2 linked regions of the Danio rerio genome follow. The protein of the gene in region 1 purifies or fractionates together with the protein of each later gene. This does not show direct contact. Links are inferred from orthologs where the notes say so. Each region holds a gene or a part of one and is shown in the gene's direction. Other genes may lie near its edges. The genes, in order: mta3 and chd3.

Region 1 (4,436 bases):
AGAGAGTGTATGGGTCTTTCTCCTCACTGGGTTGCAGCTGGAAGGGCTGCATAAAACATATGCCAGAGTAATTGCCGGTTCAATCTGCTGTGGCGACCACTAATAAATGAAGGATAGTGAGTGAGTCAATGCAAGGCTATGTGTTGACTTTTCTTAATGGTTGGTCTTTGGTGGCTGTTACTTGCTCCCTCGCTCATCTTCTTTAAGCTTAGTTCCTGTTTTATCAGGGGTTGCCACCGCGGAAGAAACCACCAATTAGTCTGGCATATGATTTGGATGCCCTTCATACCCGCAACCCAACCCCGAGAGTACACTAATTCATGAACCCCTGTACTGGAAAGGCAGTTTCATTATGTTTATTCATTCATGATTTTACCAAAAGTGACTAATTAATGAGGACTATTTGATTTTTAATTAAAGCTGTCAATAACAGCATAAATAGGCCCAGCCAATCACACTGTCCTTATGTGTTTGTGGGAGGGAGGACCCAGGAAGAGAATGTCACTAACCATTTCTGCATATCTAGGTTAACAAGGGTTGATGGAGCATTATTTTATTTTGAAGGTGATTCAATTATTGGTGGGGATAGTTCAGTAATTGATAGATATTGGTGGGGACATATGCCCTCCATCCAGGCCAAATCTACACCTTTGCTCTGGACTGTGGGGGAAACCGGAGCACCTGGAGGAAACCCACACAAACACAGGGAGAGCATGCAGACTCCACCCAGAAATGCCAACTGACACAGCCAGGACTTGAATCAGCAACCCTCTAGTTGTGAGGCGATAGTGTTAACCACTGAGCCACTGTGCCACCTTAATGAGGTAAATAAAAGAAAAAATAAATAATAATAATAAATTCACAGCAGATTGAAAGGCAAGTACTTTTTCGGTTGTTAAATATATTATTATTTCATATACAATATATTGTTTAAACTATTAAAACCTCAATAAAAGTATTTTTTAAGAACAACAGACACAGACAGATAAAGTAGCATGCTAATAAAACCAAACAAAGTGTCAGCATTTATTATTGGTGTTAACTGGGTTTTGCCACTCATATAAATAGGTTGCTAAAACATTGTGCATCGGGTTGTGATATGTTCAAAACTAAATTAAACAGTGAATCAAGTATATCAATCTTGTTTTCCACAATTGACAGCTTTTAAAAGACACTTATTGTCATAACAAAAAAACTGGCAAAATATGAAAACGTTATTTTAAATGATTTAAATGCACATCAAAACCATGATTAATTGAATTCTGTGGGTAAAACAGTCATGAGTGTCGTGTTGAGGTTGCAGTCTGTAGACTTCATTCACCCTCCTTCTTCCTTCCCTCCTCTTTTCTCTCCTCCTCTCATCTCATCATCAGGAAGCTGCTGCGCTCGAGCCTTTTCTAGCGCGTGAGTGAGTTACTGTATTGTACTGTGAATCTCGGGAGGGGGGCTGCAAAAAAATCTCCTATTCTTACTGAGGTCCACCCCCCTTATTTAAAACTTCTTAAGCCAGATTGCTTTCCAACAGGTCACAGGACGTAGATGCCTTCTTGATTCACATATTTATTTTGTTTTTATTTTAGTTTATGGTTTGGTTTTTTAACACTCCGGGAGGGCAGAAATGGCGGCCAACATGTACCGGGTCGGAGGTATGTCCGTCTATATTCTGAATTAACGCAAGTCAAAACACAGGCACCACCGTAAGACCTGACTGGAAGGCAGGGACTCATTTCAAGCGAATTCCCGAAACCGGCCGCTCACTTTTAAACTCTTTAACACGTGCAGTGTCCTTGCAAAAGAAAACGATAACGTGGATGCAGAATATTTTGGGTTCTGATTTGGGTCAGGCCTCTTAAACTATCATAGCCGCACTAGCATTTTAGCAAGCAGGCTATGTTGCTAGCTAGCCACATCATAAACAAATAATCACTACTATATGTAAAACAATCGGAAACGCGCACTTAGAGCACGTTTCTCTTAGATTTACCCACATAGGTTAAAAGCGAGATATGCTTGCTATTTAACCATTGCAATTTTAGACGCCGATGTTTTTCTTTGTGATCATTTGTCTCATTTTTTGGCACGTATCCATTAGTTACGGGTTCTCATTCGGCATGCAAGGTAGCAAAGCGAGCTAGCATTTAACACCCCTCACTCGATTTCCTTAGAGAAACCACATTCAACTTCTGCCCACTTATTTGCCGAAGCGTTAAGAATTTGCACTGTTTTGATGTGCATTTGTTGTCACGCGTGTAATTAACAGCGTGTATTTAACAATACCGTCGCGTCGTTTGTTTGTGCAATTAGCCGGCTACATGCCGCGGAATTTGACATTGTTTCATGGCGGCGATAATGCAGTGCCATTGAAAATGCTTTTGCAGCTGGACGAGCAAACTTCCTATGAATTCACTGCAAATCTAATAGCATTTGTAATAATTGAATACTTTGCGCGGTTACCTTATGACATGCTCCTTGTGTGATGTTATGTGTTGATACATGTGTAAGAATGTCATTTAAATGGCAATGAAGAGAAAATGCTTGTTTGCATGAATGAAGTGTTTGTTAATGAATGCACATTCTTCACCTCGTCGTCTTGTTTTTGACAAATGCTATATATACAAATGTATCCCAGAAACAAACCATTTCTTAGCCTCAGTCAAAGGCCAAGCTGAAGGTCTTAGTGTCTTGTCAGGTCACACAACACAATTGGTAATGTTTTAGAATAGTAAAAAAAAACATTGCATTATAAAATGTGCCATTTCTAGGGATTTTCATCATTACCGTAATGTAAGTGCAAGAAGAATTCCTGCAATCGAAATGATAATGTTATCAGTTATGCCTAACTGTAAGGAATGTATCCTTTACCCAAAAATTCTTTAGTGTGCAAAATTGTCCGAGGCATATGCACAGTGCTGTGACTTGAAATACATGGTGTTTAAGTTTACATACATGCCTTTAGTTGCCATGATGGCATCAGGTAGAGAACTTATCGATGGAAAAAGTAAAATTTCACAAAAAATGTATGTTGCTGGTTTACGAATGTGTATGTCGTTGCCAACAGGGCAAAAATAGCAATAATGAGATCTGTTGGTGTTACTTCCATGCTGTTTTCTAAAGTGTGATATGATGTCACAAGTTTCAGTCGCAAATGTTTCAATCAGAATGTATAAAGCAAATAAACTGATGTTTGAATCTGATGATAGTTTTTAGATTGTGTAAACTGATGTGCAATTCGATTTAATTCATTTAGATGAACAGAAATTGGTGCATGAAAGCATGTCTGGTGTTTAATGTAGTTTTCTGGCTATAAAAGCAGAAACAAAACCTGCTTCACTCCTTATTTTCATGCTTAAATATATGGTCCACAAGCTTATATCACAATATTATATATAAAAATGACAAATGGCTCATTCATACATCCAAACATAGACTCTCTTAAATGTTTACATGTCTGTACTGCACTTCAATACTGCAACTAGATCGGCATGTGGCACATGTTGTAATTCGATTTCTGTTTAGTTCGATTATGACATTAATTGGATTGTTATTTTTTTATTGTGGTTTACATGGTAGACTCTTAATCAGAGTATTGTCTCGAAATGGATTATTATTATCCATGTAAACAATAATGGATGTTTAAATCCATCTCATTTGGCTACTTTACTAATTTACTGAAGTGGCCAAATGAGATGGATTTAAACATCAGTTATTGTTTACATGGACAACAATTATCTGATTTGAGACAATACTCTGATTAAGAGTCTACCATGTAAACCACAATAAAAAAATCTAATTAACGTCATAATCGAACTAAACAGAAATCAAATTACAACATGTGGCACATGCCGATCTAGTTGCAGTATTGAAGTGCAGTACAGACATGTAAACATTTTAATCAAACTGGTACTGTTGTGTAGGATTTTCGCCGCATTTTGCGTCAAGATACAGTAGTCTATACCAGGGATGGGCAAACTTGATCCTCGAGGGCCGGTGTCCCTGCAGAGCTTTGTTCCAACACTAGTCAAACACACCTGAACAAACCAATCAGTGTCTTCAAGATCACTAGAACTCTATGATGAGGTCTATTTGAATAAGGTTGGAGCTAAACTATGCAGGACACTGGCCCTCCAGGATCAAGTTTGCCCACACCTGGTCTATACACAAACACACGGCTGTTTGACATTATTCTTTGCACCTACCAAGTCAGTGAAGGACTACAGACACCTGCATCGTGAAATGCAGAGGTGTTTTTCTCAATAAGGTGTCTGGTATCAAATTTCATTAAAACAACACTCTTGCAGCAGTTCATACTCGCATTCAATATTTCGTTTGTCTAAGGGGGCATACATGAGATATTGTTGAATGAAAGTGAAGTGCCAAATTGCAGTTAAAGTCAACAAATTAAAAATAAAACTCCAGAGGAAATGTGGATAGTGTGG
Region 2 (3,827 bases), on another chromosome or scaffold:
TATATATATATATATATATATATATATATATATATATATATATATATATATATATACATTTTTTAATTAATTAAAAAATAAAAAAGTCACCTTCATTTTTTACATTTATTTTCACTAATTTAAATGAAGACAAAATTTGTAAACATAACAGCCCAAAATCTCAAAACGTTAGAATGAGTGCCAATTAATTACTATTACACATAATGTAATTTTAAGCAATTTTTAAAATATTTGTTTTGTTTATTAAAATGTTCTGACATCTGAAATATCTTCTAGCATTTAAAAATGATGCATGATTATTTTTATTAATCTAGACAGAATACTTATATTAGAATACCAACATTGACAATTTATTGTTTATTGACAGGCCCTGGCTACAAGAAACGAAGTAAGAGCCCTCGTGTCTCCGACAAGAAGAAGCCAAAACCCAAGAAAATGGCTCCCCTGCGCATTAAACTGGGAGCGATTGGTAACAAGAGGAAGAAGAGCAGTTCAGTGAGTGTCTGTGTATAACCCGCTTGCACAATAATGTGTGTTGCGTGCAGTGTTTTTGATCGTGTATGTGTGTGTGGTTGAAATGCAGAGTGAGGAGGTGGATGAGGACGACTCTGAGCAGGAAAACTCCAGCGTTCACAGTTCTTCAGTCCGCTCTGACAGCTCAGGACGGGTCAAAAAGAATAAAAGGGGTCGCCCTGCCAAGAAGAAGAAAAAGGGTGAGAATTAGCTTGTTGCTATTATCACTGCAGGTCCGTCTAAACTCCTGATAGATGGGTTTTTGAGTGCACAGACACAAAGTGTAATAAACAATTCTCTTTTACATCAAATTATTAATGTGATAGAGGTTTTTGTTCATTGCCAGAGAATTTAGGAAGATAATAATTACCCTAGGTGGTTTAAATGATTTTATTGGTTAAAACAGTAGTAGACATTATGCATCAGAGGGGTAAAGTTAATGTTGTATCTCTCTCCATATCTTTCTGTCTCAGCGCTGGGCGATGAGGATGGCGATGGCTATGAGACTGACCATCAGGATTACTGCGAGGTGTGTCAGCAGGGAGGAGAGATCATTCTGTGTGATACCTGTCCCAGAGCTTATCACCTGGTGTGCCTTGAACCTGAGCTGGAGAAAGCACCTGAGGGCAAGTGGAGCTGCCCTCACTGCGTGAGTCACTTCCACTCAAACCTTCAGAGTCACAGATTGATTTCAAAGTGGTCCTGTCACCTTTTATGTAATGGTTATTATAATGGTTTGTCATTGTAAAATGTCTGTGGAGCTTCAGAGATCAAAGCAAACTTGGAGTTATGTTCTCCCATAAGAAAAAACTGATTGTGGACTTAAATGAGTAATCTTTAGGCCTTATCAACTATCCACAAACAGCATCGCCAAACACTGTGGTGTCGCTGAGTATTAGAGTTTGGTTTTTAGTGTGTCAACAGACATGTTTTCTGTTCTGTGAATCAAATCCACTTTGCATGCATTTTAAAAATGATTTGAAATGATACAGTAACAGTAAAACTGATGCTATAATTGCTGTTTGTATTAATGTGTATAGAAGTGTCTCTGCTGTGAAATGTAGATATGGTTATGCTCATTTGGTTTATAACCAGGGTGCAAATTATACATTGATGATCAGGGGGGGTCGACTCTTTTGGTAAGTTTTTCAGTGTATCCAATTTATTTATTTAAATGACATCAAATTTATGAATAAGTCATATTTAAGTTTTCAGTGTTTTGTGGGATATTTAAAGTATTTTGGCACACATTAACCTCTGATTATTTCTGGTTACTGTAGCTCAAACTATTCAAACTATGCGTCTAATTTTACTTTACTTTTAGTAAATTCAAGCAAGAAATAGTGTCTCATGACCACTTGTGATAGCCATCGCTGCTCTAGATCTGCTGGTTTAGACTGTTGAATGATTCTTGCAAAGACTGATTGGCGCAATTATGCATGAACCCCTATAATTGTATTTTAACATAGTATTGGTATTTCAGTGTTTTCTCTAAGATTTTTTCAAGCTGTGGCGGCAGGCCTTTTTTACACAGATCTACCTATGGTGTTATTTCAATGACAAATGTTGTGAGTGCAGTATTAAGTCGAGATCGCTTTGCTTGGGCTCAGATTTCCTCTGCCTGTGCACAAAACTTCTTGCACGCTCCCTCAAATATATGCTGCTCAAGCGCAGATCTTCTTGTGCGCTTTCAAATAGGGTTGTAACGGTATGAATTTTTCACGGTATGATAATCGTCTAAAACAATACCACGGTTTGACGGTTTCGCGGTATACGGTATTAAATAGTAATTCTCATAGCAAAGACCCTGAAAAGAATAAGAACACGTTTTCTGACTGAACAAAGGTTTTATTTCAACAAACTTTTGAAAGAACCATTTTAATAGAACTATAGAAGTCTTTTATAAAAATAAACTGAAAAATCTCCCATTTTAATAAATTAAATTAGAAGGAATAAACAAGCAAGGTCTTTTAAGATTAGACAAAAATAAACTTAAACTGTCCTTCCTTATAAGCAGGATAAATGGGAGACCAAAAGTGCAATACCAAGTTTATGGCTGTAAACATGTATTTAAAGCGTTGTTTTTTTCAGTCTAGGTTGTGATGAAGAAATGTAAGCATGTTGAGATTTTCAGGACTTAATCTTGACCGCAGAGGTGAGAGAATGTGTCCACTTGTACAATGAACAAATAAAAAAATAAGAAAATAATAAATAGTGTGTCAAAGTCCAAATAAACATGGTGCAAATCCTCAGTAAAAAATAGATATAAATATTTACTATACTATAAATAGTTACATAACGAAACTAGATTCAATATGGAACATCCTTAGGTTTTATGTGCCAGCATGGATATGGTTGTCTGTGGATATGGATTTGGATATGGTTGTATGCAATGCAGACAAACAGCTGCACCTTCATTTGTGTCTTTTGAAAACAGCAAGAGCAGCAGTTCGTCTTTGCTGTGTCACTGTTTTGTCATGTTTCTGTGCTGCTGTGCATGCAAAAGTACTTGGTATGAGAATTATTTCATGCAAAACTTTTTTTTTTTTTTTGCGTTTTATTTAGCCGCGCAGAAATGTATGCCTATCTCTCATTCCGTGTTGTTCAAAAAGCTCAGTGTTGGTCCACAAACAAAAGTGAAACCTATGCTTATTGGTTGTGATATAGCGAGTTTGAACCAATCTGGGCATGAAGGAGGGACAATGCATCAATGTATCATGTCTGGTTTGTCCGGAGACACAGTGACGAGCGTTTCTTTGTCAAATCAGCGTTGTCAAATTTTGATGACGTAACCGCACTGATTCCGGAGCCTCTGAATGTCCGTGAATGTTATGTGATACAGCACTGGAAAGCTGAGATTCTCTTCTTTATGCCAATCTTTGAATTGTATGAATCGGATCAGCGGATCAAAAGTTATTAAACATTTAAGAGCAATACTTATTTTTAGCCGCGGGCGGCTGTCTCGGTCTTTAAGGGTTAAAACCGTTGATATGCAATTGTTCATGGTATGATAATCGTGCACGTTCAAATCGTGGTAGACCGTCATACCGGTATATTGTTACAACCCTACTTTCAAATAAACGCTGAAGTGCGATTTAGGTCCACAACCGTGATCGTTTGGCGTATGGTACGTTTAGCTAGTGTGAACGTTGTCTCCTAAACTCAGATGTGCACCCGTAAACCGTACTCAAGTCCACCTGAAGGGGTGGTCTGGGGTACGGTTTGTGGGAACTCTAGTACAGTTCACTTCTGATATGAATGCAATCCTACCAAATAATAGAAGTGAACCGCCAACTGTACAACAAACTTTAGTT

Evidence for each region.
Region 2: the proteins of mta3 (region 1) and chd3 purify together in Homo sapiens (affinity purification with mass spectrometry; 4 studies listed by BioGRID and IntAct, with this or other methods). This does not show direct contact. The link is inferred for Danio rerio from reciprocal best matches to the Homo sapiens genes MTA3 and CHD3.

Annotation. Positions count from the first base shown.
Region 1 is NC_133187.1:27,004,000-27,008,435, forward strand, and holds the start of mta3 (metastasis-associated protein MTA3), read left to right. Parts: upstream 1-1,415; 5' UTR 1,416-1,476; exon of another isoform or gene 1,477-1,580; 5' UTR 1,581-1,618; coding exon 1,619-1,646; intron 1,647-4,436. UniProt on the Homo sapiens protein: Acts as a component of the histone deacetylase NuRD complex which participates in the remodeling of chromatin.
Region 2 is NC_133182.1:20,735,235-20,739,061, reverse strand, and holds part of chd3 (chromodomain-helicase-DNA-binding protein 3), read left to right. Parts: intron 1-367; coding exon 368-495; intron 496-583; coding exon 584-713; intron 714-986; coding exon 987-1,162; intron 1,163-3,827.